Callithrix jacchus: one gene and its partner. The protein of the gene in region 2 purifies or fractionates together with the protein of the main gene of each other region. This does not show direct contact. Links are inferred from orthologs where the notes say so. Each region holds a gene or a part of one and is shown on either strand. Other genes may lie near its edges.

Evidence for each region.
Region 1: the proteins of LSM1 (region 2) and LSM6 purify together in Homo sapiens (co-immunoprecipitation; 3 studies listed by BioGRID and IntAct, counting the BioPlex papers as one, with this or other methods). This does not show direct contact. The link is inferred for Callithrix jacchus from reciprocal best matches to the Homo sapiens genes LSM1 and LSM6.

What each region holds. Positions count from the first base shown.
Region 1 is NC_133504.1:50,820,501-50,824,697, reverse strand, and holds the start of LSM6 (U6 snRNA-associated Sm-like protein LSm6), read left to right. Parts: upstream 1-1,397; 5' UTR 1,398-2,030; intron 2,031-4,197. UniProt on the Homo sapiens protein: Plays a role in pre-mRNA splicing as component of the U4/U6-U5 tri-snRNP complex that is involved in spliceosome assembly, and as component of the precatalytic spliceosome (spliceosome B complex).
Region 2 is NC_133514.1:38,988,094-38,990,880, reverse strand, and holds the end of LSM1 (U6 snRNA-associated Sm-like protein LSm1), read left to right. Parts: intron 1-111; exon of another isoform or gene 112-216; intron 217-1,790; coding exon 1,791-1,961; 3' UTR 1,962-2,287; downstream 2,288-2,787. UniProt on the Homo sapiens protein: Plays a role in the degradation of histone mRNAs, the only eukaryotic mRNAs that are not polyadenylated. Probably also part of an LSm subunits-containing complex involved in the general process of mRNA degradation.

The DNA of each region.
Region 1 (4,197 bases), on a different chromosome or scaffold from region 2:
TAATTCAGGATGCCCACCCCGTATGTCAAGCCGGCCCCATACCCAGCTACTCCCTTTGGAGAAGATTGCAGCTGCTCCTCAGATGAACGAGGCCTTTAAACTCCTCATGGCTCCCTACCCACCACACCAGTGTTAATCGCTCCATCAGGGGTCTGTAGGAAAGGGAAAGAAATTTGAATCAAAAACTTACTGTTTTTTGAATAATTGAAACAACCAGTAGGGAGTGTGCAATTTGATGTCTTTTGCAAAGAATGTTTTTAGGGACAGGGCTTTTTATCCTATCATGTTTGTTCTTTGCAACTAATTATTTAATTTTAATGGCACTTTTCTTAAAATTTTTATTTACATTATATTTTATATTGCAAGAACTTCAAATACAGCCCTCTTAATAAGTCTGTAACGGTTTTGTCTTTACCCAAACTGAGCTTTTGTAGAAGGATATAAGGAAGTCTCTATTCTTTACCAAATCACATCCAGTTGCTTTCTGTCCCTGATACCAAGGGTTCATTTCTTCTGCCTTTAGCCAAAAGAGGGATACAAGGGAGAAACTCTTTATCTTAGAAAAACATTCTGCATCTTAGATTTTATAACACTTAATGGAGTTAAGGATCTGTGTTGGAAGATCTTATCACTTTGTGTATAGTGTTACAAATCATAAATAAAATAAAGTATAAGTTTTCAGCTGATGAAAGTATGTGACAGGGAAAAAGGAACCAAGTCCTGGTGTGACTGTTCTCTTCTTTTTCCTCTCCAATCCTATTAATAGCAAGAGTATTGAGAATTCATGCAAAATTCCAAACCAAGTTCCCACAGGTAGCACTTAGCTAATGTCTGCACACCATTTTCAATTGGAACTAGTTTATAATGTAACACAATTAACGTCATTATAATTCGGAGTTACTTGAGTGGTTTTAATTATTTTCGTATCAATTAACATTGCCATGGAAACAGTCTCTTGCTAAAATGGCTTAAGTCTTCACACATTTAATCAATATCCAGAGGCAGATTTAAAGACTTGAGGTGTTTGTTTTATTTATTTGTTTGCTTTAAACTATTCAAGGACGTTTCTGGGTACACACGGCAGTTACTTAAAACTGTAAATTCCAGTTTTCTATGACTTCAAGTTATTTTTTACACTGCAAATAAATCCTGCCCAAAAGATCACTTCTAGCTTTCTGGATTTTTGTTTTTGTTTTGTATTGAATTGTATTTGTGTTGTATCCGGATTTCTGTTAGAGGAATTCCTTTGCACCAATTTCGCCACTGGACAAACCAACCAGGATTCTTGGATTTGAGCGCTTTGGCGCGGACCGGCCTTTTCGGCCCCAGCGGGCTGCCGTAGCAGAGAAGAACACTGATTGGCTGAGGCAGAAAAGTACCGCTGCCTCGCCGGTTTCGGTTTCGATTCGATGAAGTCCGCGGAGCCCGGGCTCTTGGGGCACCTGTAGTGAGGATTTTGGATCCCGCCGACGAGGTGAGCCGCGTGGCTGCGCGAGCCGAGCAGCCTCGGAAACGGCCTGCGGGGAGCGGGCTGGGGCTCCGGGGAGGGACTGCTGGGTGGTGGGTCCCCGCGAAATGCCGCTTCCAAGCTCTGTGTGCACGTAATGGCCGGGAGTGATCTGTTGGTGGGCGCCTGGAACCGCCGTCAGCGAGGCGTCTACACTGCGCCGAGAGGAGCGGCACCGTCCCGGCTGGCGTCGATTTGGCGTTCGAGACTGCACGAAGTTGTTCGGAGGTTATCGAAATTCCCCAAGGGAACCCCAGCGCTAATCCCAGGATTCGGCGGGAAAGCGGATCCCGAATCTAGGCCTAGGCTTTGCCTGGATTCTTCCAGGCTTCAGAGAATTGCGAAGCCTACCCTACATCGGAGTGGCTGCGCCTAACCACAGGAATTAAGGACTGGACTAACCTGAATTACCGAGTTGTCTAGTCGGGGAACCCCTTGTATGGTCTTAAGTCCTATCGCCAGAGGTTTTCTATGTGTCCGCGTTTGTGCCCCGGCGCGTGAATAGCGGGCATTTTTGTTTAAGGTGTGTAGGATTAGGATGATTGGAATTACCCCACCCTACTGCTCTTAGTAATACGTGACTGTTGTAGAAAAATTGCAAACATAGAAGACTTTAGTGAAGAAAATAATATTCGCTGAACCCTTTCACCTGCCATCTTTTTCTCCTGTATGTACCAGCGTCTACTTGGACTAGGACTGTTCATGTTTAATTACTTAACAGTGTAGTTTTCCAGTTCCATTTAAAAACTCTTCCTAAATATTATTCTAATTTTGTATCTTCTTTTGAGTGGCTGGCCCATCATTGTGGATCCCAGTGTAGGTCCCATAAATTATTCAGTCATTTCCCGACTGTGGGACATTTGGTTGTTTTTGAATTTTTGCATCATCTTAGCATCCCAGATCATATTTTGATAAACATTTCCCCCCCATCCTGTAGATTATTTCCTTGGACTAGATTCTCAGAAGTGAAATTATCAGATAGATGCTGTCATCCATAAGGTCTTTAGGCTTTCATGCACATTGCTGCAGTGTTTTCCAAAAAAGTTTTAGAGGTGGTTGGCAGTTTTACTTGCTTGAATATTGTGCAGAAATCTTGAGAGGCTTATGTCTGTAGTGTGTATCACTGGAGTTAACTGCAGTAGACTGCCTGAATGTTAGAGCAGGAAGAGACCTAAGTGGTCATCTAGCAAAGCCCCCTTATTTTGCAGATGAGGAACCTGGGGCCATGAGAGGTGAGATGAGTTATCCAAGTCACACAGCCAATTAAGTAGCAGAGCTGGGATTAGAACTGAGGTTTCCTGCCTCCCAAGTGAGTACTCTGTGCTGCATCAGGCAGCCTCTCACTGAACTGTGGCATAGTAGATATTAGAATTTAAAAATATGTTTACATCACTTGGATTATTCTCTTTTTTAAAAGTGTACTAACAGATTTTAATCATCAGAGGGATCTTTAGTACTGAAAAATTGTAAAGTGATCATTTTCATGGCCAAGGCTAGAAATCCGTTATTTAGAATGGCAACCCCTTCAAGGCTTTGACAGTTGTTTTCAGATTCTCTATATGTTAGAATAAAAAAAAAATCCCTGATAAATTATAATCTACACTCCATCATTTGGTTAGATGTAGGTGTTGGTTCTCATTTGCTATATTTGGGAGATTTCTTTAAAACTCCTCACTTTAAGGCCAAAGAACAATGTTGCTGGTTTTTAAATTTTTTTTATTTTAGGGCTTATAGCAGAGATTCTCAACTTCCATGGACTTTTTGGCCTGGACGCATTTGTTGTGGAGGGCCGTCCTGTGCATTGTAAAATGTTTAGCAGCATCCCTGGTCTGTACTCACTAGTATAGTAGTAGCACCACCTTCCTCAGTCATGAGAGTTCATGGTGTCCCCAGATATTTCCAGCTGTCCCTGAGCATGGTGGGGGAGGACAGGGGGGATTGCCCCTAGTTGAGAACCATTTGCTTATAGAAATTATCTGGAGAACTTTATAATGTAATGTATAGTGCCTTTGCCTCAGTAGATTCAGGAATTTGCATTTTAACAAGCATCTCTAGATTTGGATACAGCTGGTTCTTGAATGACAGAAACAGTTGTTTTCTCCGTCTTTGGTGCTCATTATAGAGATTACTTGATTAGTATTTGTTGAAGTACACACTTGATATTACTAGTCACTGTACCCATAGTTTGGGCTGGTGGGGGCTGGACAGGAATTTTGCTTGACACTGGCTTTGAATGTCACTTCCACAGACTTGGACAGTATGCTTAGATACCAGGGTTACCAAGTGAGTGAGATATTTTCCCTGTCCCCAAGAAGCTTAAAATTCACTGTGGGAGATCAGTCAGCAAATGGAAACATTACAAAACGGCCTGATAAGGGCCACGACTGAGAGTGGAAAGAGGTGCTTTCAGTGGACTAACTTCGCCTTTGGAAGAGAGGGAGAGAAGAGGCCCCAGCTGCTCGGGAAGGAGGGATTGTCTTCAAAAGACAGCCCGGCTCTCCACTGTGTCAGAGGGAGGAATTTAGAGAGCTGTCCTCGGTGTCTGATTGCCTCGTCAGACACTGCTATCTTAGTATCACGCTGCAATTACTTGGGTTCTAATGTTGTTTCCTTGCAATTTTTGCTTTTCAATTTTTTCCACGCTAAACTGTTAAGTACTCTAGAGTAGGTAAAAACTTACAGGTAAACAT
Region 2 (2,787 bases):
CTTTGGGAGGCCGAGGTGGGTGGATTGCCTGAGGTCAGGTGTTTGAGACCAGCCCGGTCAACATGGTGAAACCCTGACTCTATTAAAAATATATAAAATGAAAAATGTTGTGCTTGCTTTGGCAGAGCATATACTAAAATTGGAACAACACAGAGAAGATTAGCATGGCTCCTGCATAAGGATGACATGCAAATTTATGAAGCCTTCCATATTTTTAAAAGTAAATAACATGAAAAATGTTTATAAAGCATTCAAAAATAAAAATATTAAGCATACTGTGCCACATGTAAATGAAAATGAATTACAGTCAGTATTTGCATTGTGGGTTTTTGGGTGAGAGGGGGTTGTTTTTAAGACAGAGTCTCACTCTTATCCAGGCTAACTGCAGTGGTGTGATCGTGGCTCACTGCAGCCTCAAACTGCTGGCCTCAAGTGATCCTCCCCCCTCAGCCTCCTGAGTAGCTGGGATTACAGGTACATATCACCATGCCCAGCTAATTTTTTTTTTTTTTCCTCTTCAAACAGATTCTTACTCAGTCGCCCAGGCTAGAGTGCAGTGGTGTGATCTTGGCACACTGCAACCTCTGCCTCCTGGGTTCAAGTGATTCTCTTGCCTCAGCTTCCTGAGTAGTTGGGATTACAAGTGTAAGCCACCACGCCTGGCTGGGGTTTTTTTTAGTCAGTATATACATAGAAAAATTGTAGGGATATTAACCAAAAATGTTAATTCTCCGTATTGGAATTATGGATGATTTTTTAATTTTTCCTATTTGTCTTTTCTATATTATCTGCAATGAGCATGTACTTTTTAAATAAGGAAAAGGAATTTTTTATTAGGCAACAATTTTTTTAATAGTGGAGAAAAATATTGGGACCAAATTGGTTTAGTAACCTCAATGGTCTGCTGAGGTTTTCTCTAGAATACTTCTTGCCATAAAGGAAAAAAAGAGTCTTGTGTTATAGTTTAGAGACTACAGAGCCGGTGCGATGGCATATACCTGTAGTTCCAGGCATATACCTATAGTACTTGGGAGGTGAAAGCAAGAGGATCCCTTTTATTTTTGCCTTTTTATTTATTTATTTATTTTTGAGACAGAGTCTTGCTCTGTTGCCCAGGCTGGAGTGCAGTGACATGTTCATGGCTCACTGCAGCCTTGACCTCCAACTTCCCAGGCTCAGGCAGTCCTTCCACCTCAGCCTCTTGAATAGCTGGAACTGTAGGTGCACACCACCACATCTGCTTTTTTGTGTGTGTGTATGGAGTTGGGGTCTCACTGTATTGCCCAGGCTGGTCTCGAACTCCTAGGCCCAAGTGATCCTTCCACCTCAGTCTCCCAAAGTGCTGGAATTACAAGCATGAGCCACCCCACCCATCCTTAAAATAATTTTTTAAAAAATTTTTCTAAGGCCACACTGCCTCAATAACCTCCCTCTTGGATTCTCTACAGCCGGGGAGATAGCTGTCTATAAGCAGCCCTAATTTTTTTTTTAAGGAGATTAATCCTTGACTAATAGAAAATGAATCCTAATATGGGATTTTGGATCATATAAAGCTTTGTTATAGAAATACTGATCACTGTAACCACATTCATCGTAAGTATGTATCTTATCGTAGTGTTGTCAGGCACTTCTTTGAAAAACTTACCTGTCCCTAGGAGAAGGATATTTCAGTCCTGTCACAGTTATGAAAAATAATTCGAGCCTGATACAGGAATCCATCTGCCTTTAGATCGGTAATGTTTTCTATTCTTGGTCTTCAGGTGAAGTTTTCAAACCTGTCTCTTTTGTAGGACTTGGAAAAGGAGAGTGACACACCCCTCCAGCAAGTATCCATTGAAGAAATTCTAGAAGAGCAAAGGGTGGAACAGCAGACCAAGTTGGAGGCAGAGAAGCTGAAAGTGCAGGCCCTGAAGGACCGAGGTCTTTCCATTCCTCGAGCAGATACTCTGGAGGAGTACTAAGTCTTGCCCAGAGGCTGTTGCTCTTGAAGAGTAGGGGCTGTCACTGAGTGAAAGTGACATCCTGGCCACCTCACACAGTTGATCAGAGACTGTAGAGTTTTGAAAAATCACTCTTATTTTTCATTCTTTTACACATGAAACATGAATAAATCATGTAGGTGGGTTTTTTTTTTTAAATAGCAAAATCATTGTTTCAAGAAACAGTGGCATAGACTCCTTCACATGTCACTGGCACCAGCAACTACTTTATATTGTTCTTTGTGTCCCGAATTAGAGTTTACAGGGACATTCTTCATTTACTTGTAAATAAAATATGAATCTCAAAAGTGTCATGTTATTTCCAAGTTTGAGTTGCCTCTAATGAATAGAAAAAATGAAGTTTCTGTTCTCAAAGGTATTAGAATCCACATACTGGAATTTTCCCCCTTCAGTCACAGTTTCAAGTAACTGGCTACTTAGGAAGGAATACTTTTATTCTGATCATCTCAAGGGTCCTCTCCTCTTTTCATGTTTGTATCTGATAAGAAATACAAATTTTCAGCCTTGAGGAGGGAGCTTTCAGCTGAGTTTCCCAGTTACTGGCTACTGCAGAAGACTCATGTTTGAGAAACAACATCAACTGTTGCTCTTGCTCCTGCTTCACCCATGGCTGATCTAAACTAAGTCCCCATGAGACCTAACATGTTCTTAAGGTGCTTGGTTCTTCAGATTTTCTGCTAATTTAATTAGGTTTTCTAGTCCTTTGAATTGAGTCTTGAGTCTCTTATGTTCTTATCAAAAAGGAACATAAATGGAATTTTAGTGACCGAAAGCCCATAGTGATGGC